Linked DNA regions of Tamandua tetradactyla. The main gene of each other region encodes a partner of the protein of the gene in region 2 in a complex. Links are inferred from orthologs where the notes say so. Each region holds a gene or a part of one and is shown on either strand. Other genes may lie near its edges.

The links.
Region 1: the proteins of GCC2 (region 2) and RAB6A are in contact, whole or in part, in a crystal structure (PDB 3BBP), measured with the Homo sapiens proteins. The link is inferred for Tamandua tetradactyla from reciprocal best matches to the Homo sapiens genes GCC2 and RAB6A. Residues at the interface, in NP_852118.2 of Homo sapiens: Thr1585, Ile1588, Leu1589, Glu1591, Gln1592, Leu1595, Leu1596, Glu1599, Arg1602; in NP_942599.1 of Homo sapiens: Lys15, Ile46, Gly47, Ile48, Trp67, Arg74, Phe75, Ser77, Leu78, Ser81, Tyr82, Asp85.

Annotation. Positions count from the first base shown.
Region 1 is NC_135334.1:72,219,863-72,235,793, forward strand, and holds the start of RAB6A (ras-related protein Rab-6A), read left to right. Parts: upstream 1-7,130; 5' UTR 7,131-7,621; coding exon 7,622-7,691; intron 7,692-15,931. UniProt on the Homo sapiens protein: The small GTPases Rab are key regulators of intracellular membrane trafficking, from the formation of transport vesicles to their fusion with membranes.
Region 2 is NC_135343.1:73,138,247-73,154,177, forward strand, and holds the start of GCC2 (GRIP and coiled-coil domain-containing protein 2), read left to right. Parts: upstream 1-6,341; 5' UTR 6,342-6,430; coding exon 6,431-6,436; intron 6,437-6,847; coding exon 6,848-6,904; intron 6,905-8,079; coding exon 8,080-8,164; intron 8,165-9,302; coding exon 9,303-9,370; intron 9,371-15,931. UniProt on the Homo sapiens protein: Golgin which probably tethers transport vesicles to the trans-Golgi network (TGN) and regulates vesicular transport between the endosomes and the Golgi.

The DNA.
Region 1 (15,931 bases), on a different chromosome or scaffold from region 2:
TTACATTAATTGATTTTCTTATGTTGAACCATCCTTGCACACCTGGGATGAATCCTACTTGGTCATGATGTATAATTCTTTTAATGTGTTGTTGGATACGATTTGCTAGAATTTTATTGAGGATTTTTGCATCTGTATTCATTAGAGAGATTGGTCTGTAGTTTTCTTTTTTTGTAATATCTTTGCCTGGTTTTGGTATGAGGGTGATGTTGGCTTCATAGAATGAATTAGGTAGTTTTCCCTCCACTTCGATTTTTTTGAAGAGTTTGAAGAGAATTGGTACTAATTCTTTCTGGAACGTTTGGTAGAATTCACATGTGAAGCCATCTGGTCCTGGACTTTTCTTTTTAGGAAGCTTTTGAATGACTAATTCAATTTCTTTACTTGTGATTGGTTTGTTGAGGTCATCTATGTCTTCTTGAGTCAAAGTTGGTTGTTCATGTCTTTCCAGGAACCCGTCCATTTCCTCTAAATTGTTGTATTTATTAGCATAAAGTTGTTCATAGTATCCTGTTATTACCTCCTTTATTTCTGTGAGGTCAGTAGTTATGTCTCCTCTTCCATTTCTGATCTTATTTATTTGCATCCTCTCTCTTCTTCTTTTTGTCAATCTTGATAGGGGCCCATCAATCTTATTGATTTTCTCATAGAACCAACTTCTGGTCTTATTGATTTTCTCTACTGTTTTCATATTTTCAATTTCATTTATTTCTGCTCTGATCTTTGTTATTTCTTTCCTTTTGCTTGCTTTGGGATTAGTTTGCTGTTCTTTCTCCAGTTCTTCCAATTGAACAGTTAATTCCTGCATTTTTGCCTTTTCTTCTTTTCTGATATAGGCATTTAGGGCAATAAATTTCCCTCTTAGCACTGCCTTTGCTGCATCCCATAAGTGTTGATATGTTGTGTTTTCATTTTCATTTGCCTCGAGGTATTTACTAATTTCTCTTGCAATTTCTTCTTTGACCCACTCGTTGTTTAAGAGTGTGTTGTTGAGCCTCCAGGTATTTGTGAATTTTCTGGCATTCTGCCTATTATTGATTTCCAACATCATTCCTTTATGGTCCGAGAAAGTGTTGTGTAAGATTTCAATCTTTTTAAATTTGTTAAGACTTGCTTTGTGACCCAGCATATGGTCTATCTTTGAGAATGATCCATGAGCACTTGAGAAAAAGGTGTATCCTGCTGTTGTGGGATGTAATGTCCTATAAATGTCTGTTAAGTCTAGCTCATTTATGGTAATATTCAGATTCTCTATTTCTTTATTGATCCTCTGTCTAGATGATCTGTCCATTGATGAGAGTGGGGAATTGAAGTCTCCAACTATTATGGTATTTGTGTCTATTTCCCTTTTCAGTGTTTGCAGTGTATTCCTCACGTATTTTGGGGGATTCTGGTTCGGTGCATAAATATTTATGATTGTTATGTCTTCTTGTTTAATTGTTCCTTTTATTAGTATATAGTGTCCTTCTTTGTCTCTTTTAACTGTTTTACATTTGAAGTCTAACTTGTTGGATATTAGTATAGCCACTCCTGCTATTTTCTGGTTGTTATTTGCATGAAATATCTTTTCCCAACCTTTCACTTTCAACCTATGTTTATCTTTGGGTCTAAGATGTGTTTCCTGTAGACAGCATATAGAAGGATCCTGTTTTTTAATCCATTCTGCCAATCTATGTCTTTTGATTGGGGAATTCAGTCCATTAACATTTAGTGTTATTACTGTTTGGATAATATTTTCCTCTGCCATTTTGCCTTTTGTATTATATATATATCATATCTGACTTTCCTTCTTTCTACACTCTTCTCCATACCTCTCTCTTCTGTCTTTTTGGTTCTGACTCTAGTGCTCCCTTTAGTATTTCTTGCAGAGCTGGTCTCTTGGTCACAAATTCTCTCAGTGACTTTTTGTCTGAGAATGTTTTAATTTCTCCCTCATTTTTGAAGGACAATTTTGCTGGATATAGGAGTCTTGGTTGGCAGTTTTTCTCTTTTAGTAATTTAAATATATCATCCCACTGTCTTCTAGCCTCCATGGTTTCTGCTGAGAAATCTACACATAGTCTTATTGGGTTTCCCTTGTATGTGATGGATTGTTTTTCTCTTGCTGCTTTCAAGATCCTCTCTTTCTCTTTGACCTCTGACATTCTAACTAGTAAGTGTCTTGGAGAACGCCTATTTGGGTCTAATCTCTTTGGGGTGCGCTGCACTTCTTGGATCTGTAATTTTAGGTCTTTCATAAGAGTTGGGAAATTTTCAGTGAAAATTTCTTCCATTAGTTTTTCTCCTCCTTTTCCCTTCTCTTCTCCTTCTGGGACACCCACAACACGTATATTTGTGCGGTTCATATTGTCCTTGAGTTCCCTGATACCCTGTTCAAATTTTTCCATTCTTTTCCCGATAGTTTCTGTTTCTTTTTGGAATTCAGATGTTCCATCCTCCAAATCACTAATTCTATCTTCTGTCTCTTTGAATCTATCATTGTAGGTATCCATTGTTTTTTCTATCTTTTCTACTTTGTCCTTCACTTCCATAAGTTCTGTGATTTGCTTTTTCAGTTTTTCTATTTCTTCTTTATGTTCAGCCCATGTCTTCTTCATGTCCTCCCTCAATTTATCGATTTCGTTTTTGAAGAGGTTTTCCATTTCTGTTCGTATATTTAGCATTAGTTGTCTCAGCTCCTGTATCTCATTTGAACTATTGGTTTGTTCCTTTGACTGGGCCATATTTTCAATTATTTGAGCGTGATCCGTTATCTTCTGTTGGCGTCTGTGCATTTAGACAGATTTCCCTGGGTATTGGATCCAAAAGTTTGGAAGATTTTTCTGTGAAATCTCTGGGTTCTGTTTTTCTTATCCTGCTCAGTAGGTGGCGCACGTGGCACACGTTTGTCTGCGGGTCCTACCAGTAAAAGGTGCTGTGGGACCTTAAACTTTGGAAAACTCTCGCCGTCCTGGGGGTTTGCTAGCCGAAGCGGCTTGAGCCAGCCCGGGGTCCGAACGCAGGGAGGGTTGCTGGTCGCCGCAGCCAGGGAAAGAGCCCGTCCGAATTTCCTAGTCGGCCCTGGGCAACAAGCGTGGCGGGAGGGCGCCAGCGGCAGCGGCCCGCCCGAGAGAGTGCACGTTCCCCGGGAGTCACAGGTTTGGAAGGGGCCTCCCCCACCCGTCACCGTTCTCCGCGGCCTGGGGGTTTCCGATCCAGTTCTCTCAGTTGGTCCGGGGGGCTGCGTGTGGTGTGGGCGCCAGCCGCCTTGGTTTCAGGGGACCGCCTCTCCAATTCTCCCAGCCGGCCCGGGAAGGGGGAAGGGAGTAACTCCGGCCGCTTGCCACCCCACCCGGTAAGGCCCGCGTGCCTCGGCGATCTCACCCGAGCTGCTTCTCTCAGCCAGCCAGCCGTTCCAGGATGGGGTACGCTGTCTTTTTTATCTCTGTTGTGGCTTTCGGCGCTTTCTGTATCGTTTCTACTCCTCTAGTAGGTGTCCTGGAGAAGAAACTAAGATCCGCGCGTCTTACTAAGCCGCCATCTTCCAGGAAGTGCTTCTTTTTTCTTTTTTTTGCATGGGCAGGCACCAGGAATCGAACCCGGGTCTCCAGCATGACAGGAGAGAACTCTGCCTGTTGAGCCACCATGGCCCACCCTCCTAAGCATAATTTTAAGTAGGCTTAAGCTATCCTTTGCAGGAATGATTTTCATACAGACAAATTCCAAGATTAAGGGCTTGGCCTATTGATTTGGTTGTCTCCACTGCTTGTGAGAATATCAGAAATTCTCCAGATGGTGAGGCTGAATATAGAATATATCCTCCTTTCTCCTCAGTCCCCCTAAGAGGATTTTGCAAATACTTCTTTATTCACTGCGTAAATTACTCTGGGATATATCCAAGCATCACATTAATCTGGAAAAATCAAAAATATCTCATGGCTTATTCAAGATTCCCTGTACTTATGATGTTCAACTAAACTGATAATACTAGTTAAATTAGATAATGTGCTGCCCAAAATATAAATTCTGCACCAAATTAACATCTCTCCCTTTGGTCTCACACAGAAGTTGAAGTTTTAAAACATGGACGATATTATTCTTTATCCTGTATTCTGATCTACCCCAGTTCTATACAGATCAGCTTCATTCATATTTCTATTCAAAGCTAGATCCCCTTTTCAACTTTTAAAACAGTACCTTAATGGGGTGCTGCTGATTTTCATAGCTTCAGAGCTCGCACTCTGAGTCTCAGGTGTTACATAAATACCCGAAGTTTCTGGGAACAATCATGTTATATACAAATAGCTCAGTAGATCAGATTTTAGAAATAACAGTTACAATTCAGGAGTTGTATATATGTGACTGCTGAAAGAGCTTAAAATCTAGGATCCTTTACAATTCCAATCTGGTAACCTCTGCTCTCAACTTCAGTTCACCACATTTTTATAATATAGTTAGTCCACATGAGTGAGGCATGCTAATATTTGTCTTCTTGTTTCTGACATTTGAACATAAGGTCCTTAGGTTCATTCACATAGTTGTATGCCTCACAGCTTCATTCCTTCTTGCAGCCACTCAGTAGTCCATTGTATGTGTAAACCACAGTTCCCCTTCCATTCCTCAGATATCATACCCTTAGGCCACTTCCATCCGTTGTAAATCACTAACACTGCTGCCATAAACACCAGCCAGTAACTACTTTTAAGGGCAATTTAAAAAAAAAATCAAATGTTCAATTCTGACTGTTTTTATCATTCCATTCAAAATACATTTGCACAAATTCTTTTGCCATTTAATGGAGAGAACAGTAAGAAGTGAATAAATTTTGACAGAAAAGGAGGCTTGTGGATATAGCTGTATTCTAGATATATTCTGAAAATTTCTGTTCTGTATTAGTTTGTTAAATCTGCTGGGATGCAATATACCAGAAATGGAACGGCTTTTAAAAAGGAAATTTATTAAGTTACAAGTTTATAGTTTTAAGGCCATAAAAATGTCCAAACGAAGGCATCCAGATAAAGAAACCATGACTCAGGAAAGGGCCGAAGATGTTCAAGCTTTCACTGACAGCTGGGAAGATACCTGGTATTGTCTGCTGATTCTTTTCCTTGTGGTTTCAAACGGCTTCTCTGGGGGTGTTTTCTTTCTATATCTCCAAATGTCTGTGCTGGCTCTGGAGCTTTTTTCAAAACGGTACCCTCTTAAAGGATTTCAGTAAGTGACTTCACCTCGAATTGGTGACCACACATCTATTGAAACCACTTAATCAACAGGTCCCACCCACAAGTGGGTGGGCCACACCTCCATGTAAAGAACTTAATCAAAAGATCCCATCCAACAATATTGAATCAAGATTAAAGAACATGACTTTTCTGGGGTACACAACAGTTCCAAACTGGCACAGTTTCCTTCCCTTGATTTATTCTAGGTCAGCAATTCATCCCTGGGCTTGAAAAGGAACTTCTTTGATACTGCCATTTCTATAGCTAAGTAAGTAATAACCCTGGAATAATGAGAAAATATATATATAAATGTATTTTGCGAATGGTAAGACACTATACGCACATGTAAGGATTTATTATTAACTTGAGAAATATTTTTGATACCAGTTTTTAAAAGTAACCTCTTCAAAACACAGGGATTACTCTTTCATACTCTATCACCACAGTGTGATGACATTTGGAGGAAGTTGTGTGGATGCCAAATTCTCTAATTCCGAGATTCTTAGCCTTTTATTTATCTTTTATTAACAGACTTTATTTAGAACAGTTTCAGATTTACAGAAAAATTGAACACATCATAGAGTTCCTGTATACCATACGCACTATACAATTTCCCCTATTTTTAGCATCTTACATTAATATGGTCTATTTGTTACCATGAGTTAATACTGATACATTGCTATTAACTAAAATCCATACTTTATTCAGATTCCCTTCGTTTTTATCTAATGTCCTTTTTCTGTTCCAGTATCCCATCCAGGATTCCACATTACATTTAGTCATCATGTCTCCTTGGGCTCTTCTTGGCGGTAACATTCTTTGTTTTTTAGATCACAAATCCAGGTGAAAGCTATGGATTCTCTCTACCGAAAAATGTACATGCTTTCAATGGCTAATTTAAGGGAGGTCCACTTACGGTGATTCAGAAGCCCTGCTTAGGGGGAAAGGAAGAGCTTTAAAATACCTACTTCGCAAGCTCTGCCTCTAATTTGTTGTGTGTCTCTCCGCAAAGGCGTTATTCTATATGGGTCTCAATTTCACCATCTGTGAAATGAAGGATTTGGTTTACATGATACTTAAACTCCTCTAGCACGGTGGAGTGTAATGTTCAAGTTATCAGCATCTGAGGACGATAGATCGACCCGTTAGGCCAAGAAAGTGCGGCCAAGAAAGTGCGCTGGCTTATCAATAAAGACACCACACAGATACAATGGGAGAAAATGAGAAAACCTGGGTTCTACTTTCCGGCTGTGCGGATTTTGCAAGCCATTTCCTCTCTCTGGACTTCAGTTTCTTCATTTGCAAATCGTGGAGGCCTTGTTTCTGGCAGTTATGAAACTCCTTGCAGCACCAATAGAGAATGTACCTAGTTAAGTGCCAATGTGAGGAATTATGATGAGTAAGAAGATGGAGAAAGTGGGTGGATACATACATGGGTGAAAGGTTGACACGAGGAATGTAAGGCAGGGATGGGAACAGAGGAAAGACGAACACAGCCTACACTTTAGTGCTCTCCGACCCCACCCGTACATCTCTGGGGTAATCCCTACTTCCGTTCGGGCCCCGCCTCTACCCCCTACTTCTCAACTCTTAGGGACAGACCCGCCACACTCTGCATGGCCGCCACTGCGCGCCTCTTTTCACAGCGCGAAGGCCGCGCGCGTTCTCGCACCGCCACCTCATTCTCGTCCCTGTCGGTCCTTGGCCTCTTCCGATTGGCTCACTACGAGCGTGACGTAAGCACTCCATATTTCACCCTTTCCTTTTCCTTTGGCTCCGTCCTGCCCCTCCTAGCTCCTCCCGACGTGCTGGAAACTTAACTTGCCCTAGTCTCCGCGGCGCCGGAAACCGGGAGAGCTGGCTAAACCAGGAAGGCGATGGTCGTGGCGCGCACGCGCACGCACTCACGCACGCACGTCGGCGGGCGCCGGGCGGCAGGCTCGCGCCCGGGCTTCTTCCGCGCCGCGCCACAGGCTCGCGCACTTAGCAGGTTGGGCTGCGGCGGCGACAGCTGAGGGAGTTGAGGCGCTGTGTGGGAGAGATCCCAGACGCGTCTGAGGCTCTGGTTTTGCCATTCTTCTTTTCTCTGACCCCACTTTCCGTGCCAGGTACTGAAGAAGGGAAGGAAGTTAGCCCTGGAAACCTCGAGTACACCCTTGGTTGCTTCGACACCCGCCCTCCTTCCCTTCCGAGCCACGGGCCTCGCTTGGTGCTAGGCGACTCTGCTGGGAGGCGGCGGCGGCGACGGCTGCCTGTCTGTGGGGAGTCCTGCCCTCCAACCTTTCTCATCCGCCGGGCCCTGCAGGGGCCAAGAGAGCTGGGCGCCTGCCCTTCCTCTCGCTTTTTTCCTCAGCCGGTTGGAGCATCGTCGGTCCGGAAGGTCTCTGGGCTGAGGCGGCGGCAGCTCCTCCGGCTCCATCATGTCCGCGGGCGGAGACTTCGGAAATCCGCTGAGGAAATTCAAGCTAGTGTTCCTGGGGGAGCAAAGCGGTGAGTGCGCGGCTCCCCCCACTCTTGGCACCTTGCGGCGGCTTCCCGTCGCCGCCCCCAGTGCGGTCCTTCAGTCCGCGGAGGCTTCTTGCCGGCCTCGCATTCATGCTCTGTTCCATCCCCCCGGCCCTTCCCTGTCTTCGCCAACCCCTCTTCTCCCTGGCTTCTCCGTCCCTTGATCTGTCGATCGATTTTACTCTTCTCCTTTGGCCCTTCTGACCCCGACTCTGCTGTCTGGTTCTTCACAGGCCTGCCCTCACCTACCGATCTGCCCTTCCCAGGCCTTACCCCGCCCAGCCTCTGCCTCCTGTCCATCTCTTTCTTCCTCTGGTCTCCGTCTCCCTTACCCCAGCCCTTTTTCTTGAGCCCCACCCCTATTCCTTGCACTCTGCCGGGCTCGTCGCCTCTGTGATGGCCACCCCTGGAAGCCCCGCTCCTGGGAACAGGCCCTTCTCAGACTTCGGCAAGGAGGGTGGTATCTGGGCGTTGTTTTCCCCTGGGGATTGGCTTGGGAATTGAGGATCTTTATGGAAGGTGGGAAATGGTGATGGTAGAAAATTCTTGGATGCTTTTTACCGTGGTGTAGAATTAATCTGTATTATAGCGGAATTATGTCTGAATTGGAAGCGTTTTGTGAATTGGGTGGTCTGCGTGAGGGATGGCGGCGGGCGTGGAGGCTTTTGCTCCTTGAGTTGGGTTCTGGCTTGTCGGAAAAAACCTCATTTTCTTCTCTTGACTTGAATCACTGACGATTCTTTTGGCAATGTTGATGCTTTTCCGATCTCTGCCAGATGCTATGTCATGATCGTTTTACTTGGAATTTTTCACATTCAATCTCCCCTTTTTCTCGTTTCAACATGAAGCGCTCTCTTATTTTTCTCATGGTGGTGCATACAGGAATGACTGGGGAAATGTTAATTATTCATTTCTTCTTGTATGTTTTCCAGTCATATATTTAGGATTTCTTCGAGAGGTTTGAGAATAAGGAATATCTTTGTTTTGTAGGATTTCCTTGGGGGTGGGGAGCGTTAGGGAGTTATCTAAATTAAATTTGTTATACTTTGGGTAAATGACTTTTATGCCTAATGTTCCATAGTATTTGGTGAATGAAACTAATGTCATTTAACCTGATCAAAGTTCTGCTCTTGCTGTAGTTTGTATTAGAAGAGATCCTAATTTTGTGAAGGTTGTCTCTAAAATTATTTCTTCTAGTAATTCCAATTTTATGCTGTTATGCAAATGTTTCGAATACAAATTTCCTATCTGCAGTATGCAAATTTGTTTAGAGATTATTACCCTCTTTTGTTTTTCTCACACTGTTCATGACCATCATTAAAATTCAAATTTGAGTGAGAAGTTCCTCCCAAATCATCAAACATTGGGTATCTACTAGGTGACTTAGGTTATATTAGAGAAAACATTATTTTGCCTAGAAGGCAGGAACCAATACAAATTCAGAGCTTTTATTAACTAATACTGTGAACTATTTAAACTAATTTATATGACATTAAGGTAGGCTAGTATTAGCTGCAAAATTACTTCCACTTGCACCTGAACAATCATTTTTCTCTTTCATACATAGATCTTTTTCCCCTTGCCAAGGAAAAATAAAGCCTACTCTTTGCTTATAGATTTTCTTGAAGTACGCCTTAAGTTTTTTTTTAAGATGAGTAACTTGGTAGAACATAAGGAATTGATTCTGATCCAGGCATTTTATGGCAATATCAGGACAGTGCCGTACATGAAAAATAGTCTGTAGGTCAACATTGGTAAATAGGATCTAAGTGCTTATTTTTCAGTTTAGGGATATTATTGCCTGCCTTGTGTTGTGATGCATCTATTTAGTTTGCATGAAAAACTCTTTAATCTCTTTCCTAGGATGGTTTTAGCATGTGTAGAGATCTGAATTTAAGTGTATTTATGTTTTAATTCACATTGTAGAGTTTCATGGCTTCTCATTTATATTTTCTTAAAACCTTTGATAATCTCATCTCCCCTCCCCTCCCCTCAGGTAATTCCTGGAGTCATTTTTTTATTTTTGTTTTTACTTAGATTTAATTTTCCTTTTTTTTTTTTTAACATGAGCAGGCACTGGGAAACAAACCTGGGTCTCCAGCATGGCAGGTGAGAATTCTGCCACTGAGCCACTGTCACACCACCCTACTTAGATTTAATTTTTGGACAGTTTGAGATTTACAGAAAAATTGAGAAGTTAGTACAGAGAGTTCCCAGATGGTATACCTCCCACCCCCACCTCCCAGTTTCCCCTGTTATTAGCATCTTTTCCTAGGATGGTACATTATTTAAAATTAAAGAACCAGTATGGATACTTTATTAACTAAAGCCCCTAGTTTATTCACATTTTCTTAGTTTTTACCGCTTGTTTTTTTTTTCCCCTCAGGATCCCATCCAAGCTACCACATTACATTTAGTTATATCTCCTTGGTCTCCTCTTGTTTTGGTTTGGGGATGGGGTGGGGTGGAATTGGGTTTATATGCTTTTTACTCTTAATTGTGACAGTAACTACCTTTTGAGGCTACTGTATAGCTAAATAGTGCATCCAATAGCTTTGACAATGAAAAATTGATCTTTCCTTTCTTGGGCAGTGTTTGCAATTTTCTTATGCATTAGGGAAGGTCTATAGAATTCGTGCCATCTTGATGTAACTCTTAAGAATTATTTATTATCAGGTCTGTTAGATTTCACATTTCAGCTTCCAAAGACTAATCTACGGCAAAGCCTTGTTTATTTCCTTAATGGCATTTACCTCACTTATACTTATCTTATTTTTAAATCTATTTCCCATAGCAGAATGCAAATTTCATGAAGATAAAAACTATTATCTTTCTTATTGATTGTGTCCCCAATGCCTGATACAGTGCCAGGCTCATAGTAGGTGCTCAGAAATATTTGTTGAATGATGGTTGAATTTAAAAGTAACCAAGGCCAATTAAAATACTAGCAGCCTGTATTATTATTTGCTCTGGTGAAGGTGTTGTCTGTATTTTTTCCTTATGGAATAAGGAATATGCAATAATATTTTTTTCTTTTTTTTTGTAGCTGTGTGGTGGGGGTTCACATTTCATTCTTTTTGCATGTGACTAGCTCATTATTGCTGCATCATTTGTTGAATTTTTTTCATGGGTGGAGGGAGAAGTGCATACAGTAACATTTTGTACTTGCATCATTTGATTGTAGGCATTGATATTCCAGATGCTGGGGAGTTGGGGAAGGGAGTGGAGCAACAATAACTCATATGCCTAACTTTTTCTCTAAGAAAAATAAGACTGACCTGGAGTTTGCTTTTTTTTTCCGAGTTGAATAAAATTCGTCTTGCTTTGTTAAAACCATTGTTAAAATTTATTATTTTTGCTATTAGTAAACATGTAGAAGTATGTCAGATGATATTGAAGATGTGTTTGTAGAAACTGCTCTATATAATTTAGTGAAAATTTAAAGTACTATGCTCTATAATGAAAATGAATTGTTTCAGCACCTCAGTCCTCAGATTGATGACACATCAGCCTTGGAAATCTTTGTATAAACTCTTATCTTTTATCTTTCATTAATATCCCTGGTTTAATAAAGGAATGGTGAAATATACAGATTGAATCTGAAGTTCACTTGAGGAGGCTCTTTCGTTCCTATATCTGACTATTGTCTTGAAATGCCGAGGCACTTTTAAGAATATGTTCCTGGTTTACAATAGATTTTGCTACACACAAGTGTCTTTGATTACAAATTAGATAATGTTATGGCAGAGAGAAGCACATAAATGTATTACCCGGCCAAGTACTCTTTTTTTTTTTCCCTTTATTTTGCATTTCCAGCCAATTTGCATCAGCTTTTTTGAATTGCAACATGCTAGGTGGGGAAAATGTCTTTCTGTCAGTGATCCAGTGGTACTGAGTGTTGTATGGGCTAAATCAGTGATTCTTAAACCTTTTCTTCGTAGGCCTGATTAAATAACTTATACCTATCAATATTGACAGTATTAAAAATGAACTGATTTTGGTAATGAATGATGGAGACGGTGGCACAACATTGTGAATGTAATAACACTATTGAATTATGTATATGAATGTGGTTAAAAGGGGAAATTTTGCGTTGTATGTATGTTACAAGAATAAAAATTAAAAACAACATAGGACTGTATAACATAGTGAACCCTATTATAAATGGTGGACTGTAGTTAATAGTACAATTATGAAAGTGTTCTTTCATGAATTATAACAAAGGTACCATACTAATGCAGGGTGTTAATAATAGGGTGGTAATTGGGATCCCTGTATTTTATGTATTTTTTTGCATATTTCTGTAAATGCACAACTTCTTTACCCAAAAAATATATGTATTTAAAAAAACAGATTAGTAAAATGTTGAAAATTTTAAATACTTAATTCATTAAACAATAGCAGTAATTACATATTTATTTTGTTGTTTTTCTTTTTTTCACATGTGAACGTAATTATTTATGAAAAAGAACTGTTTTCCGAACAATTTTAGTGAGAGTTGCATTGTTTTGCATATTTACAAATCTCTTTAATATTTGACTTAATATTAATTAAACCAGCTGGATATATAGCTGGTTCTGTGTTCAGTTTGTTGTGATAGCGCATATCATGTAACCTCTGGGAAACTCTACTGTACAACACATAGGAGTATAAGAGTGAAAAATCCAAATAACATCTCAATGATATTATGCAACTGCGTTGAACTTTGTAGATCTCCTGAAGGGGCTTGTTGATCCCCTGCTGTTTGTGGACCACACTTTGAGATCTGCTGGGCTAGATGATATAAGGCTACTTTGTGGCTTCTTGCAGCTTCATGTTGCAAGTGAGAACATTCCGGAGAAATTTTTTCCATATCTTGATTTTGAAACTTTTAAACAGTAAGGCTAATGGTTAGAACACAAAATCTGGGTTTCATATTTTAATATTGGGCACTGACCTTGGGCATATTACTTCTTCTTATGCTTCAGTTTCCTTTTCTATAAAGTAGAGATGATAATACTCTCATACAGAGTCTTTGTGAAGTCTTTGTGAAGATAAGTGCAAAGCATTTAGAAGAGTGCTCAGTAAATATTATTTTACTGGGAAGTGCTCAGTAAATATTTTAATTTAGCAAATGTTTACTGAAAACTGTGCTCAGTGGTTTGATAGTTTATATTCCATCAGGAAAAAATATATAATATCTAATTCAATATACCATGATGAGTGCAGCTGCTTTTAAAAGTAGAGTTTAAACATGCACGGAGAAGAGTGACAGGAGCTTGGCATTTCAGGGGAGGCATATTATAAATATAACTATTAAGCATCCATTATTTAAATTAGGTGTATTTTTTTCCCATATGCCACCTTATTATTAACATCTTATAATAGTGATATATATTTGTTGTAATTTATGACAGAACATTGTACTTGTACTATTCACCACAGACATCATTCACTGTAGGACTTATTATGCTATATGGCTCTGTGTTTTAATCCTCTAGCTTTTCTTCTAGTAACATACACAGTCTAAAACTACCCCTTTTATCCACATCATACACATAATTCAGCACTGTTAATTATATTCACAGTAGTATGCTGCCATCACTTGTATCCATTTCCAAACATTTACAATTAACCTAAATAGAAATCCTGCACAAATTAAGCATCAGCTCCCCATTCTATCTCCTGGTAATCTATATTCTAGATTTTAACAATGAATTTACTTATTATACTTAGACCATATTAGTGAGATCATGCAATATTTACCCTTTTGTGTCTAGCTTATTTCACTGAATATACTGTCTTCCAGATTCATCCAGGTTGTCACACGCATCAGGACATCATTCCTTCTTACTGCTGAATAATATTCCATCGTATGTATGTACCACAGTTTGCTTATCCATTCCTCGGGTGATGAACACTTGGGTTGCTTCCATCTTTTGACAGTTGTGAATAATGCCACTGTGAACATCGGTGTGCAAATGTCTGTTTGTGTCCCTGTTTTTAGTTTTTCTGGGTATACACTTAGTAGGAGGATTGCCAGATCATATGGCTGTTTTTTACATAGCTTGCTGAGGACCTGCCAACTGTATTCCACAGTGGCTGCACCATTTTACATTCCCAACAGTAGTGAATAAATATACTATTTCTTCACATCCTTTCCAAATGCTTACAGTGTTCTGTTTTTTAATAGTGGCCATTCTAGTAGGTGTGAAATATCATCTCATTGTGGTTTTGATTTGCATTTCTGAAATAGTGATGTTGAGTATCTTCATGTGCTTTTTAACCATTTGTATTTCCTTAAATCTTTTGCCAATTTCAATTGGATTATCTTTTTATTGCTGAGTTGTAGATTTCTTTATTTATTCTGGATATTAAACTCTTATATGTAGTTTTCAAATATTTTCTCCCATTAAGTTAGGTAGCCTTTTCACTTTTCTGTTTTTAATGTTTTTTTTTTAATTTTGAAATATACATACAAAACAGCAATAAATTCCCAAGTGCATTTTAACAGGAAGTTACAGAACAGATTTTAAAGTTTGATATGGGTTACAGTTCCACGATTTTTTGTTTTTTCTTCTGCCTGCTCCAAGATACTAGAGACCAAAAGAAATATCAATATAATGATCCAGTCATACTCATTATATGCCTCCTCTTTTTTCTTTTTTTTGTGAAAAATAACATCCACAAAACAATAAATTTCAAAGTGTGTATATATATAATATATATATATATATATATATATATTTTAACATGGGCAGGCACTGGGAATTGAACCCGGGTTCTCTGGCATGGCAGGCAAGCATTCTTGCCTGCTGAGCCACCGTGGCCCGCCCTATTTCAAAGTATATTGCAACAGTTGGTTGTAGAACAGATTTCAGAGTTTGGTATGGGTTACAATTCCACAATTTTAGGTGTTTACTTCTGGTTGCTCTAAGGTATGGGAGACAAAAAGAAATATCAGTACAGTAATTCAGCACTCATACTTCTTTGTTAAATAAACCCTACCTTTTCTGTATAACTCTCCACCATAACCTTTGATCCTTTTCTCACTCTTTAGGGGTATTTGGGCTATGCACATCCTTACTTTTTCATTTTGAAAGGGACTTTCGATAACATGGGTTAGGGGGTTGAAACTAGTTGATGTTCTGGAGAGGCTGGCCCCTCTTCATTTCAGTACTTAACCTGTCCAGGGACCCATCTGGAGGTTGTAGGTTTCTGTAAAGTTACCCTAGTGCACGGAACCTTTGTAGAATCTTATATAATATCCTAGGTGTTCCTTAATATTGGCAGGAATGATTTAGGTTGGGGGTTGTCAAGTTATGAAGGTAGCAATGTCTAACTGAAGCCTGTATAAGAGTGACCTCCAGAGTAGCCTCTCTCAGCCACTGATATCCTATTTGTTACACTTCTTTTCCCCCCTTTGGTCAGGATGGTATTGTTGATCCCATGGTGCTAGGGCTAGGCTCATCCGTGGGAGTCATCTCCCACATCGCCAGGGAGACTTTCACCGCTGGATGTCATGTCCCATGTAGGGAGGAGGGCAATAGTTTCACTTGCAGAGTTGGGTTTAGAGAGAGAGAGAGAGAGAGAGAACATTGGGCAACAAAAGGGTATTTTTGGAGGTAACTCTTAGGCGTAGCTATAGGTAGGCTAAGCTTTTCTGCTGCCTACATAAGCTTTACAGAAGTAAGCCTCAAGATCAAGGGCTTGGCCTATTGATTTGGGTGTCCCTAATGTTTGACACAGTATCTGGGGTTTCCCTCGTGGTAAAGTATAATAGTTCCACATTTTTTTCTCCAATCCCTCAAGGGACTTTGACAATACTTTTTGATCATCTGCTTAATGTACTCTGGGATTGTATTAGTTAAGGTTCTCTAGAGAAACAGAATCAACAGGGAACACTCGCAAATATAAAATTTATAAAAGTGTCTCACGTGACTACGGGAATGTAGAATCCAAAATCCGCAGGGCAGGCTGTGAAGCTGACGACTCCAATGGAGGGTCTGGACGAACTCCACAGGAGAGGCTCACCAGCTGAAGCAGGAATAGAACCTGTCTCTTCTGAATCTCCTTAAAAGGCTTCCTGTGATTAGATTAAGCATCACTCATTGCAGAAGACACTCCCCTTTGGCTGATTACAAATGGAATTAGCTGTGGATGCAGCTGACATGATCATGATCTAATTCTATGAAATGTCCTCATTGCAACAGACAGGCCAGCATTTGCCCAACCATACAAACAGG
Region 2 (15,931 bases):
GTTGCAAAGAGATGGAAACAGCCAAAATGTCCATCAGCGGACGAGTGGTTAAACGAACTGTGGCGTATACCTACGATGGAATATTGTGCAGCTTTAAGATAGACTAAACTTATGAAGCATGTAGTAACATGGATGGACCTGGAGAACATTATGCTGAGTGAGTCTAGCCAAGAACTAAAGGACAAATACTGTATGGTCCCACTGATGTGAACCAACATCGAGAATCAGCTTGGAATATATCATTGGTAACAGAGACCAGCAGGAGTTAGAAACAGGGTAAGATAATGGGTAATTGGAGCTGAAGGGATACAGACTGTGCAACAGGACTAGATACAAAAACTCAAAAATGGACAGCACAATAATACCTAAGTGTAATGTAACTATGTTGGAACACTGAATGAAGCTGCACCTGAAATATAGTTTTTTGTTTGTTTGTTTGTATCTTTTGTTTTTGTTTTTTTTCTTTTTCCTTTATATATATGTATATTTTTTATTAGTATTATTATTTTAATTCTCTTCTCTATATCTTTTTCTGCTGTTTTGCTAGTTCTTTTCCTAAATCGATGCAAATGTACTAAGAAATGATGATCATACATCTATGTGATGATACTAAGAATTATTGAGTGCATGTGTAGAATGGAATGATTTCTAAATGTTGTGTTAATTTCTTTTCTTTTTTTTGATTAATAAAAAAAAAAATTTTTTTTTAAAAAAAAGCCACAAATGGGTGGGCCACTGTGGCTCAGCAGGCAGAGTTCTTGGCTGCCATGCCAGAGACCCAGGTTCAATACCCAGTGCCTTCCGATGAAAAAAAAAAAAAGACATAATATTGCTTTGACCCACATCAGTACAATGGGTAATGTACTTTTTCCATGTTTATGTTAAGAACTTTAACTGAAACTCTAAATAGCCAGTGATTGAGTATCCTGACTTAAAACTTGCTAGTGTGGAAACAGAAAAAAAATCAGCTTTTCTCTGTATTTTCCAGATGTCCTACAATGAACCTTTTATGTTTATAATTGGAAAGAAATGTATTCATGAAACAGGTCATGATCAGGCTCATTAAGTTAATTTCAAGGATATGAACTGATCTGCAGTTCAGAACACATGAAATGTAAAGACGATGTTTCTAAAAATCTAAATATGGCCTTTGCTATAGTTTCCAGAATATCAGGAAACCTCAGAGTGTCAATGAGTAATTCATAAATATCCTGTAGTTTATTTAAGAGTATTAATCAAAGAAAGTAGGAAAGACATTAAATATGTTTAAGGGATTTCAGTGCTTGCTAATGAAATCAGGAAATAAAAGACTTAAGAGGAACAACAGAGGCTCTCAGATGGTCAAGGACATTATGCCTGCCTCCACTGTCTAAAGAATACATTTTCTGCCCGACAACCAGAAAGGTGGTGAATTGGAAACGTGTAGGGCAGTTGTGGGGCAGCCTAGAGAAGCTCTTAAGTGTGCACTGACCCTTGTCTCCCTGGGAGTCCCCATGCTGCTCTACCTGCCACTGCAACTCTCCCCTCCTGTCAGATGGGCATGGATAGTGTTACTAAAACCAAGGCAACAGAAGATGGGGTGAGGGTAAGAAAACCACAAGGAAGAAAAGAAAGGTTCCTTGTATCTGAAGTGTGAGAAAAACAATTCTACTGCAAGAACTTCAAGTATTATGTAGCTGTTCATGCAGTTGCAATCCTAGAATGTAACTACTTCTGACTATGAGTCCCTGAGAAACTTTTACAGGACTGGAATGAGCATAGTATATCTATTTAACTTGCTATTTTATTGCAAGGGATTTTCTTTCAAGTTATTAATCGAAATAGGAATATATACAAGTTTCTCTTTAGTCTGGAACTACTTTGCATATCATTAGAATAAAGTAATATGGACTACTAAAAACAGTGCACACTTAAGGATTTAGAGTTATTACCAGGCCTTAATACCCCCACACACATATACATTATATATATATATACACACATACATACATACATAGAAATATATACACATATATTCACATATTATAATCACATTCAAGCTCTTCTTGCTTTCAAATTCTTAAATTCCCTACCTAATTTAGTCCTTAGCTTACTATCAGACACTAACCTCACTGTGTAAGCCTGTCAGTGCACCATAAGGGAGGTTCACAAAATCAAAGCATTTATTTTTTTTTCCTCTCATCTCAGAAGTAATGAGTCAGGGAAGCTAAGTAGGAAGGACAGCAGCCTTCTTTTATTAAAAATTTACTGAGAGATGATGTTATCTATTCTCAGTTATGAGGAACAAAATTTGAAGGGATTGGGGAGCTTAGAGGAGTTGAAAAAAGAATAGGGATGACATGCTAATAGCTTTACAGTGCAGGCAGTCCAGTCAGTATTTATGAGGTTTCATTGACATATTTGAATTATCAGGTCAAGGTTAAAAAAAAAAAAAGGTATAAAAATATTCTAGGAGTGATTGTTGTACTAAGGCAATATTCATACCTCTCCTCAAATTGGTATCCTTTAAGTGGGTGCAAATTAGATGGATTGGAAGCTATACAGCAAGTTCTGGCATGCTCATTACTTTTGGGGCTCCACCATTAATAACTGTTTTGAGCTAAAAGTCTCTGTGACTGATAATTTCGATGATTAGAGCCTCTGATGAAGCCTCTCAGGAAGGCTCTACCTGAAAATATCCTTGGGGTTTTAGAGTCACTGTCACCCAGGTATGGCTACAGGCAGAGTCCTTTTGAAAAGCAACTATTAGCTTCCTGAAGAGTTCTTATTGAAACTGAATGCCTGACCCATGTAGGCCTGTGAAATCTGGCCTGATAACCCTATTTGGGGGTGGCTTAACTGAGACTATGACTAATGATGTGAGAGGGGCCAAAAAACAGCTTTGCCTGTCAAATGAAAATGGAATATTCAACAACGCAGCTGGCCTGGCTCCACAGACATCCTGCTTTACATGACAAAGTGGCAGCTCTCAACGGAAAACTTTACTCAACCATATGAAGCAAAGCCACTGGCTTGATGGAGCTGTTAATTCACCCAGACTCTCCTAAATTCTGAGCCTGGTTCATTGATGGTTTTGCTAAACTGAAACAAGATTATTTCCACTGGACTACAGCAGCTGTTAAATCTCAATGCCAGCTATGCAAAACTGAAAATGGATGTGGTCACCTCTACTCAGTGGACAGAACTCAAGGCAGTTCTCAGTTCTGCCCAATCCTCTCTGACGGATCTTCTCATAAGTATACTGACTCTTGGGCTGTTGCCAATACCCTGTTTGATCTGCCACTTGGAAAAAAACTAGACTGGCAGATTGAAGACACCCATCCTAAGGCCATGAGCCGTGGCAACAAATTACAGTTGCTGATCGAACTTTCTGAGGCTCTCATGTAGATGTCCATGGTTAAGGACCTGTTCTCTACTGAGACTGAATGGAAGCTGCTGATGGAGTCTGTACTGTTCAAATTGCTACTATATGATATGATATAAATAATATCTATATGATGATATAGACATGAAAACTCATTCACCATCAAAGACAAGGCACAAAGTGAAGGACTGCCTTCTCCTGCAGAGGCTACTGCTGTACACCAGATTGGTGACTTCCTGCTGAAAGTTGATCTGGTTCTAAGTTGGCAGGCTAAAAGCGCACTGGAACTTTGATCACCTCCTCCCTCTGGCTATGGGTAGTACCTCATCACTGCTGACACTTTTTCAGGTCAAGGTGGTGCTGTTTCAGAACAGCCAGCCAACCGAGGTCACAGAAACTAATATGTGCCATGTGTTTGGTTTCCTGGACAGTTTGCAGTCTGACATCTGTATACCTTTTTTTCCACAAAAACTATTCAACAATGGCTTGATATTCAAGGTATTCAATGGACCTTGCATACACTCTGTTAACCACAGGTATTTGGTATTGCTGAGTGTTGAAACAGCCTCCATAAAAATCAACTCAGTTTAGTCTCCAGTATCTTAGATCAGCTAGAAGTAAAAACCTAAAATTGTGGAATTATAACCCATTCAAACTTTGAAACATGTTCTACAACTAATTGTGGTGCTGTGCTTTGAAATTTATTGTTTTTGTATATATATTATTTTTTACAAAAAAGAAAAAAAGTCGATTGAGATGATTAAAAAAATATTTATGCATTCTAGCCTCCTATATTCTGGAGCAACTAGAAGGAAAAATCTGAGAAGATGGTATGGCAGCCCATGACAAAATCTGGAATCCATCCTGTAACTACTTGTTGAAGAGTGCTTTGAAAACTATTTCTTTTTTCTTTGTTTGCTTTGTATATATGTTATATTGTACAATAAAAAAGTTTTAAAAAATCAACTCAGAAAGATTTGTAACTGCCTCCCTCACCACCTCCTGGCCCATATGCTTTACTAAGGCAATTCAGTGAAAGCGCCTGTCCCCACAAAGAGATTATCTCCTCTCAGCTGCTTCCCAGGTAATGATTAGAATGAACAGTTTGGCATTTTCTTAAAAAGATAAACTATACATGGTAAAAGACCCAGTAGTCCCACTCCTTGGTACTTACACTAAAGTTCTGAAAATTTACATTCACCCAAAAACTTACATATGAACGTTTACAACAGCTCTATTCATAATCACCCAAAACTAGAAACAACCCATATGTTCTGTAATTGGTGAATAGATAAAAAAAACTATGGTATATCCATACAATGGAGTATTACTCATTTTTAATATTGAGAACAGATTAGATTTACCAATCTGTCTTAATAGAGATTTATCCATATAGATTATTGACAAACTTGATGACTCTTAAAGGCAATATGCTGAGTGAAAGCAGTCAGTTTCATAAGGTTACATTCTCTGTGTTTCCATTTACATGACACTGTTGAAAAATCAAAACCATAGTGACTAAGTATAGATCAGTGGTTGCCAGGGATTAGGGTTAGGAGGAATTTATGGCCACAATGGATTAGTATGAGGGAGTACTGGGGAAGATGGAACCGTTCTGTGATCTGACTGAGCTGGAGGTTACATGACTGTATACATCTATTAAAATCCATAGACTGTATGCCAAAAGAAAATTTTACTGTATATCAATAGAAAAATTAAAATTTTAAAAAGGTGTGAAAAACTATAGTTTTCAAAACGTCAAATCATAAAAAAAAAAGGCTGTGTAAATATTCCAGATTAAAGGAATCTTCGCGGCAATGTCTGCCAACAGCAATGAGACCTGTATTCTGCTGCAATCCTATTCAGAGAAAGGGAAAATGGTATCACTAAACCAAAGTATTAAACAGAATCCCAAATCTCACTGATCGTAAAGCTTAGGTCATATACCCACCACTGAACCATCAATCCCTGTTAAACATCGTGGGTGCAACCCATTAAAGGAGAAGAGTAGATGTTGGGGGGGGGCACCTCAATGCCTACAGGCTTGGTCTTTCTCTATTGGTTATATAACACTTTCCCCTATTTAATAATAATTAACTACCACTCATTTTATACAAACCGTGTTTTCCTCCTTCCTCAAGGCCCCTAGAGAGCCAGGAAATGCTTACTTTGGGGAAGACTGCACAACCCAGACCTTCTCAGTCGTGGTGGGCGCCCAAACCCCATGTGGCCTATCCTGAGAACCCCTCACAAGCCGCTGTCAGCCTGGCTTTCCAAAGAGAGCGAGGTAACTGGCAGACAGCTCTGGGGTACCTGTCCCGCGCCCCCATTTGCCATTTCACTCAATATCCTCATCCACCCTACAACTTCTACAGATAGGAAAACGAGGCCTCGAGGGGGTATGTGCCCAGAGTTCCACAGCTAATCAACTGCAGTGCAAGATTCAAACCCGCCACGGCTTGTGACACCAGATCCCACATTTCACAACTCTGCCTCCTCCCCGCCGCCGCAGCCACGGATAAAATGTCAGTTTGGGAGGTGAACGTCCGGGTTTCAGCGACGGCTCCTCGGCCGATCTGCTACCTCAGCCTTCGAGTATGTCTCACCCAGGTGGATACCGTCTACGTCCCTAGCTTAGAGCCCGACGCATTTTTTAAGTGCGGACCAGACGCTAAGGAGGCAGTGGCAACCTCGCAGGGACTCAGCTGAGAGAAATCCGGAGGCGCCGCCCAAGCCCGGCCAGCCGGGTCGGCACCCACGCAGCCGGAAGCGTCCCGGCCGCCAGGGGCCGCGGGGCGGGGCGCGCGGGAACCGCCTCCCGGATCCAGGAAGCAGGAGCAGGGCGCCTGAGCCCGGGGGCGGGGCCGGGGCGCGGCGGCGGGCAGCGCGGCCCGTGGCCATGGCAACGCGGGGAGCTGCGCGGGCCCCGGCAGAAGGCGGCCTTTGACCTGCAGTTGCAGCTACGTCAGAGGCGGCAGCCGACGGCGCCGCCGCCGTCCCCGCTGCAGACGGAAGTGAGGCGGCGGCGGCGCGCGCGGTGGGGTGCGAGGCGCCGCGGGGTTGGCGATGGAGGTAATTCCTTGAGGGGCGTAGGGGCGCGCGGGACGCGCGGGGCGGGGGCCTGGGACTGACCCCCTCCGGCCCCGCGCGTGGCCGCGCCTGCCCTGCGGCTGTGATTTCGGGTTGGAGGTGGCCCCCGGTGGGGAGCGTGCATCCTCTCCCTCCGCGCCCCGAAGCCCCGCGCCGCGCCTCTGCCCATCTCCACCTTCCCGAAACACTTCCCTTGTGATTACAGTCCCCTGGCCGTGCTAGTGCGTGCGGCTTGCCGCAGCCGCTCCCTTCCTCCCTAATGCTCTTTTTCGCGGAAAGGATTTCTCCTTGCTTGATTCCGCGAGAAGAGTTTATCCTGTAGGGTTCCACGCGTTCCTTCTGGCGTTAGGAATAGAGTTATCCTAATCACCTGGGTTTGATTTTGTTTTGCAGGATCCTGTTCAAGATGGGGTGGCTTCCCCCGCCCCCCCTGGAACTGGGAAATCTAAGGTAAAGAGAATACTTGACTAGCAAACACCCTGAAGAGTGGAAGGATGATGAACTTGGAAAACTTTGGCATAGGCAGAGAGTGTGGCCTACTTAAAAGAAATAGTTTTTTCTGAAGGATCTCAATTTTAATTTACGCAATTATTTACCTTTCTTTCTTTCTTTTTCTTTTTGCTAAGTTTCCTGGTAGGAAAAGAGTTGGTTATGTGTTTACTTCCTGTCCCTGGGTCAGGATTGCTGAGAGATCCTGCAGTTTTTCAAACATTAAACAAATCAATCTGACTTATGAGGTTCTATATGAGTGGAAAGAGCGGTATCATTAGGAAGGAGTCAGGGAAGACCTGGTTGGCCTCTGTACCTTCAGTGGCTTTGGGCAAGTTACTTAATCTTTCTGGGTAACGGTTCCTAAAGTGTGAAGAGAACATTGATTTGGGTGATTTGTATGGCCCTACAGAATGTTAAGGAGTCAGTATTTCTAAAAGATAATAGTGGTAAGCACAGTAGCCAAGTTTTTTACTTGACACTGTTTCAGGCACTTTCCTGAGCATGCTGTCACTTCATTTAAGCTTCCTTAATGATGCTTAAGGAATCATTTAAGCTTCCTTAATGATGCTTAAGTGACAGATACTATTGTTATACCCATTTTACAGGTGAGAAAACTAAGCCCACAGGTCTAAGTTTTTTCAAGTATTAAGGCCTAATTTTTGGTTAAAGCTTAAATGTAACTTAATTCATCTCATATCATAGCTATGCTTAAATTTTCAAGTGGCCAAAGACCTCTTTCACCCTTGAATAGAATAAAATAATTTATAACTCTAAAAAACCTTAAGGAGCATTAGTCCCAACCCCCTGATTTTACCATTAGAGAAATTAAAACCCACAAAGTTTCTTAACCTATGACAACAGTATCTTTATAGAAGATACTGTTTACAGTATCAATAATTTGTTTTGTAATTTGTTACAATAATTTGTTTACATTTTATAGTAGTTGCTTAATAATTATTGAGTTGAAATTGTATTTGCTAATTTTAAGAACTATGGAGTAAAGTACGGTGTTTGGTTGGCAGGAAGATTTATTGTGTAGAATTTTTTATTTTTAGGCGGACATTGTATTTCCTTTTTGTGGACTAGTAGAAACATGATTTATACCAGATTGGTAACATCACTACATTTTTCAGCTGGAAGCATTGCCCAAGGAAGATCTCATCAAGTTTGCCAAGAAGCAGATGATGCTAATACAGAAAACTAAATCAAAGTGTACAGGTATTTGGTTGGAAGTACTAATTTTGACCACAAACTGTATTCATGGTTTAGAACATTAGTTTTTTAATAGAATGTTGACTTGTTTTGTTTTACAGTGATTCCAAGCACAAACCTAGTTGATGTGCTGGAATCTGTTACTACTGAAAATTCTAGCCATCTTGACTTTGATGTTTTTATCATCTCATAGCTCTAAACTTCAGTTACCTTTGAGTTATTAAAGTCAGGGAGGAAACATTTTGTTGAAGTTAAACATTTTTTTTCCTGTATGTGGATTCTAGATTCTTCTAAGTCAAGTTTTTTTCTCTAAACGGTTAGTTGAAACGTTAGAAACATAAAGGTTGTGAACTCTAACAAATAAAATGAGGCCTCAAGTAAAGTAATAAATAAAAGATTTCCATTCCTGGAATCATGAAGTATGTTTATTGGCTGAAGTTGATCGAGTCCCTATATTTTCCTTTTCTTTTGATCTCAAAAGGAAAAATATTTTCATATCGTTTTTAATATTTTTAAGTATGTCTTAATATATTAAATAAATATTTAATATCCCAATAATTTATGAATGCTAACTGCTCATCCTAAAGCCAAAACTTGTTTTGTAGTAGGAAAAGATCAAATTATTTTTTGGGAGTTGGAGGTTGGATCAGTTTATGATAAAGTGGTTGATTTATTTTGAAAGCTGTCTAAGGGTCCAGACCCAGGCTTGAGTTAATAAAATACTCAGATGAACATTTGTGCTTAATATGAGATTAGTTGTTGTTTTCAGATTATACAAAAAGAAGTATTTATAGGTGAAATTATATGATGTCTTGGATTTGCTTCTAAATTGTCAGGCTGGGTAAATAAAGGGGCAGGGAGGAGGAAATGAGTACCATTTTGGATGAAACAAGGCATGTCATAATTGCAGAGAGCATAAAGAGTAACCATTCTATTCTCTTTACTTTTCTGTATGTTTGAAGTTTTCCATCATAAAAAGGAATATTGTTCTATGGGTGAGGTTAATAATTTCTCAAAGCATCCACTTTTTACATTGGTTTTAAGTTATAGTGGTTTTATTTTTCCGACTATACTTATCATTTTAGCCAGTGATCATTTTCTTCATTTCTGAGCTGGATTTTTTTTTCTTTTAATAATTGTTTAGAATTGGAGAAAGAAATTGAAGAACTCAAATCAAAGTCTGTGGCTGGAGAAACTGATGATATCATTAAGGTAATAAAATAAGTTGTGAATATTGCTTTAATTTTTTTTTTTTTAAGTTAGAGGAAATGTCTAGCAAGAGTTTAATTTCCTTGGAAGTTGTCAGCCTGCAAGAGTGCTGCCTCCCTTCCAGTCCCTGTTCTACCACTTATTCTCTGGTCTTGGTTAAGGCTTTTACCTCTCAGGTTAATAGTAGAAAGAGAGGGTTCGATGACCTTTAAGTCCCTTCCTACTATAAATGAGTATTCTCTCTTCTCTTCCTCCCACACACTAATTATGATTGGCACTTAAGTCTGTCTTGCTCTTCTCCATCTCCCTCTAAAAACCTAGTCACTCTCAAGGTTTTGATGGTTATTTTGGGGCTGATAATCTCTAAATCTATATCCCTTGGTGTGACTAGTCACCCAAATTTCACAGTTATGTTTCTAGCTGCTTAGGGGGAAAAGCATCTTCACATGGTTCTCATGTCTTCCCCTCCAACTCAACATGACCAAATCCCCACAACCATCTCAATGTCCTCCCACCCTCCTCCTCTTGTTGTGTCAGTGGTACCACGGCTTTTCATGTCTTTTTTTTTTTTTTTTTTTTTTTTTTTTTAAAGGAAAGACAGAGAGAAGGAAGGAAGGATAGAAGGAAGGAAGGAAGGAAGAAAGGGAAACATCTTTAAACACTTTCTTGTTTTATTGTATTTTGTTTCTCCGTTTTTGTTACATGGGCTGGGGCCGGGAATCGAACCGAGGTCCTCCGGCATAGCAGGCAAGCACTTTGCCCGCTGAGCCACCGCGGCCCACCCTTTTCATGTCTTTTTATTTTAGAAATAGTTTGACTTTCCTCTTTATCCTCTACATGTGTCTGTCACCAGGATGTTACTCCAGTTTTTCCTCTTTCTCCATTTCTTTGGCTCTATGTTGAAAAACGTCACGCTTGACTTATTTTAATACTCTCCTCTCCGGACTTTGTTTCTCTTTTTGGTCTTAGATGCTCCTGCCTGGTTACTAAATATACAGATTACTGTATTTATCTTATTATTCCCTGTTTAAGAATCTGAATTGCTTATTCTTATTTCCATGCTCTTAATACTGACTAAGATGTTTTTTGATTCCCCCACCTAGCCAAAGCTTCCTTAAATTTCCTTTTGTTTTTCAAAGCTGTCAAATAAATATTTTCCTGCTCTTTCATAGTATTTATATTTTGAGTCTTATTAATTATCCTTTGATTACATTTTCTTATTTTCTCATTAGGGGGCTGACATCTTGTGAGCAAAGGATCATTGAGGGACTCCCAGGAAATTACTACATGGGGTCTTTAAATCCATATGGTTATCCTCCCTTATTATTTTCTATTTTATTTAGTTACAACAATACATGTAGTTTGAATGGTATGTACAGATACCGTTTGGATTCATGTACTGATTCATTTAAGTATTACTGAATTCATAGTGTGTTTATTTGATTATTTATATTTTCTTAATCTGTAATAGCCAAAATCTAACTATATGGTGGTTAAATATGCTAACTTCAGAACCAGACTGCCTGATTTAAATCTTCAAAATCATGCTTTGCTGCTTACCAGCTATGTGACCTTGGCTAAATTTCTTAACGTTTTCTCTGTGACTCAACTCCTTCATCTGTGAGGTGGAGATAATAATAATATCTGCTTCCCTGAGGGTTGTTGTGAGGATTAAATGAATTAATACATGTATAGCACTTTTGGGTTTGTCATATAAGTACTCAAAGATTGTTATTGTTACCATGTATTATATGTGTGGGGGGTATTTTATGTATGCACACACATAGATACGTGCATACGTACCACACACACACACACACATACACTACCAGCAGTCTTGACGTTGAATACAGATTCTTTTCTGATTTTGCCCTTAATAGGTAGTTTTGAAAGAAATACTTTTGACAATTTCATTTCATGAGGACATCCAGATATTTATCCTCTATTTCCTCCTTATCACTAAACAATATATTCTCCCATTCTGTCAAGACTGCTCCTATAAATGAGAAAAGAAAATTTCTCCAAATTAATCAACTTTTCCTTTCAGGTTACTGAATTACTAGTAAAGTGTCTGACTGCATAAGTCTCAGAAAGTAAACATTTGGAAGGATTAAATGAGAATAAAATCTTTGATTTCCAGTCCTTTACTATAAAATTACTTAAGGGACTAAGTGGAAGAGGTGTTCATCAACTATTCTGCTGCTACAAATAAGTTTTCATTTTTAGAAAAATCATATATTGCAATACAATAAGTTATCTTCATCTTTGAAAAACTGACAAGAATTTCTTGCGAAATTGTAGCTCTTTGGTGGGAAAGTACACTGGAAACACCCACAATAGATTTGAATACAGAATTTTATGTTCTTCAAATAACATGTTTAAAATTTATGACTTTAAAAGTTTTAATTACAGTTAAAATTTCTAATAGTCATCTAATAGTGCATTTAAATACAATCTAAAGTTTTATTGCAAACCTGAAAAATTTTATTTTTAAATAAGATAAATAAGAAACCATATTACCCATATCAAAATTTGAGGTGCATGGTATTACAATGAATTTTGGGGCTTCTTAATGTGAGAGGAAGGTGAAAATTTATGTGAAAATATTGGAATTTCTTACACATTGGAATCTATACTGTGTCACTCTTGTTATTTTCTCTAAGATGAAATCAAAACTAAATTTCCTAAGAAAGATTGTCCGCCTTGTGTTTCTAATCTTTAAGGTATTTTATAGGTGTTTTCAGTTAATGGCCTCTGTATATCTTCTGAAATTAGTTAAATTAGGCTTTCTCTGGTATTTATCAGTCTGAAGTTTATCCTGCAGTGACAAAATTTATTTAAAACTCATTTTAACTAAAATAAAAACATGCACTAAATGCACTTGAACTAAAGTAAAAATGATTTAAAAATAATACTAAATGATAATTTATAATCTTAGCTTCCAGAAATTATTTCTGTATTTCTAATTAATATACTTACATTAACATTCCTTGATGTATCAATTTTAGACATTTAGACAGTTTCTATTCCTGTTATGGCAGATGAAAATTTAGTTATCTTTTATTACCACTCCTACTTTCCGAATGGCCAAGCGTATAAAATAGTGTATCTCTTACATTTTTACCTGGATACCTGGCTTCTGAAGCCTTCTGTCCTCCTCCACTAATTTGGTCTGTTCTGTGCATTTGCTAAATAGTTCTCCTAGGACTGCCTTTTCATGATCCAGTAAATTTTGAAACTACTGTCCTATATTGGCCTTCCTGATAGCTAAGTCACTCTCTTGGTTAACTATCTTATTTTGGCATAACATTCCTCTGTAGCATTCCTAAGGATGTGGAAGAAGTTAATTTTTGTGTCCTGTGTTTAAAAATGCCTTTATGATTACATTTGATAGCTATAACTTGAAATGGATGAAGTTTTCTACCCCTTTTATTTTTATTTTCTTAGAAAATGTTGGGTTTTGTTTATTTGTTTACTTTTACGTAAGTTCAAAGGTAGGTAATTCTAGGGCTGGTTCAGTCTCATAGGGGTGTCATCAGGACCCAGATTCTTTCCATTTTTGTGCTCTTTCATCCTTAGCCTTTAGATTGTCTATACATGTGACACATGATGGGCTACTGCAGTTCTCCTGTTATGAATGGATATTAAAACAGCCAGCTCAAAGAGAGGGACATTTTTCCCTCTGCATCACTTTTTTTTTTTTTTTATTAAATGTACCAACATACACACACAAGCATTCTACATATATAATCAGTAATTCATAATATCATCACATAGTTGCATATTCATCATCATGATTTCTTAGAACATTTGCATCAGTTCAGAAAACGAAATAAAGAAACAGCAGAAAGAAATTCATACATACCATACCCCTTACCCCTCCCTTTCATTGATCATTGGCATTTCAATCTACTAAATTTATTTTAACATTTGTTACCCCTATTATTTATTTATTTTTAATTCATATGTTTTACTCATCTGTCCATAGGTAGATAGATAAAAGAAGCATCAGACGCAAGGTTTTCACAATCACATAGTCATATTGCAAAAGCTATCTCATTATACAGTCATCTTCAACAAACATGGCTACTGGAACACAGCTATACAGTTTCAGGCACTTCCCTCTAGCCTCTCTGTTACACCTTAACTAAAAAGGTGCTGTCTATTTAACCTCCAGGATAACCTCTTGACTCTGTTTGGAATCTCTCAGCCATTGACACTTTATTTTGTCTCATTTTGCTCTTCCCCCTTTCGGTCGAGAAGGTTTTCTCAGTCCCTTGGTGCTGAGTCCCAACTCATTCTAGGATTTCTGTCCCACGTTGCCAGGAAGGTCCACACCCCTGGGAGTCATGTCCCACGTAGAGGGGGGAGGGCAGTGAGTTCGCTTGTGTTGGCTGAGAGACCACATTTAAGCGACAAAAGAGGTTCTCTTGGGGGTAATTCTTAGGCCTAATTTTAAGTAGGCTTAGCCTATCCTTTGCTGGGTTAAGTTTCATATGAACAAACCAAAGATTGGGGGCTCAGCCTATTGCTTTGGTTGTCCCCACTGCTTGTGAGAATATCAAGAATTCTCCACTTGGGGAAGTTGAATTTTCCCCCTTTCTCACCATTTCCCCAAAGGGACTTTTCTGCATCACTTTTTATTGCAATCTACCTCTGAATTTTGAATGCATTGCTCCATTTCCGGTGTTGCTATTAAATAGTCTAATGTCTCTATTACTTCTTTTCCTTTACTTGTGATTTGCTTTTTCCTTCTTGAAGCTTTTATGTTTTAAAAATTTTACAATGACATGCTTTCAGTGGATGAGTTTTCTTTGCCTTTGTGCTTAAGACTCTGGGCAATCTACAGGCCTTTATCCTTCAGTTCTTGTAAATATCTTTTATAGTTTGATTCCAGCCATTCTCTTTGTTCTTGCTTTTGGAATCTCCTATTAGATGTTGGCCCTTGTATCAGGAATGTATTCCACCACAAATAAAAGAACTCTTACCTCAGTGACTTAAAAAAAAATGTGTTCGTGTAACAGAAAAGGAACTTCAGGAATAGACAGTTGAGGAATGATATGTGGCTCAGGGACATTAACAGGTACAGGCTATTTCCATCTTTCCATACCACCAACTTTAACATTCTTGGACATAAGACGTCTGCTCCAGTTCTGGCCAAAGGATTGAGTTCCTTTTAGAAAAATTATGCAAAAGAAGAAAATGTGAAAAGGGCTTTCTCCCAGTTTAGTATCATATAGGTACCCTTGGCTATGAGTGAACCAGGAAAATCAGGGTTTTTTTTTTTTAAACTTTTTTTATTTGTGAAACATATTTACAAAAAAGCAATAAATTTCCAAGTACATTTTAACTAGTAGTTACAGAACATTTTAAAGTTTGCTGTGGGCTACAGTTCCACGATTTTTTGTTTTTCTTCTAAAATCTGAGTTTTTTTGTTTGAACCTCTGTAACATCTTCAGAAGAGGCCAACAGGGGAGACGGGGTTGATTATTATTAAGGTTGAATGAGTCAGTCTACAGACTCTGATCTTACAGGAATGTTCCTAGAATTTATGTTTTCTTTTGAGTTCTCCATTTGAGCTTTCTGAGAAATGTCATCGACTTTTTACTTTTCAGTCTTTTCTTGAAAGTAGGGAGTATTCACCTGGCAGTTTGCAGCTTAAGTGCTGAAATCAGGACCAGGGGTCAAAGGTATGGAGTAGGCTCATCATTTAGTATACACAACTTTCACATAATCCTCTAATGAGGGGAAAATATTCAGCCCTGCATTTAATTCCTGTTCACCCTGTGCTTGGTGTATCTCTTCCTATTCAGTTTCTTTTTTTTTATTCTTCCACTGGACTGTAAGTGGATTAATCACAGGCCTTGATTCATGACATACACTAATCATTAGTCAGTGCAAGGACTGCTTTTACTTAATTATTTCTAATAATACATTCACCTGTGAACCTGATACTCAAAAGAGAAGCTAAAATCTTGAAAATAATGTATATTTTCCTATATATTCCCACCCACTCCCAAACAAGTATCTCACCCCAAACCCCATTTCCCACACCCAGCTTAGCCATCCCCCTAAATCCCGTATTTATCATTCCTTTACTTTTTATAAAGTTTCAGTACATTTGTAAGTGTCCTTGAAATATGTATTTTTAATTTTAATGTGTAACTTCGTTAAAAGGGTAACATGTTTGTAATGTATTAGTACTTTTTTCACTTATTATTATTTTACTAAGCTTCATCTGTATTGTTGCACATCGCTGTGAGTGCTATGGAATATTCCATTGTATGAATATAGTACAATTTGTTCATCTGCTACACTTTTCATGGGCACTGGGGTTATGTCCAGGTGTTTGCTATTGAGTGCAGTGCTTTGTCCATGCTTGTGTGCATGTCTTTCACACGTATGCAAGAGATTCTCATAGGTGTATGCCTGGAATTGCTGCAACATAAAGGATATGAAGGTTCAACCTTAGGAAGTGGTTGAAATAACTTACATTTTCACCAGCAGTGTATAAGGGGTCCTGCAGATCCATATTCTCTCCAGCACCTGGTTTTGCCAGACATT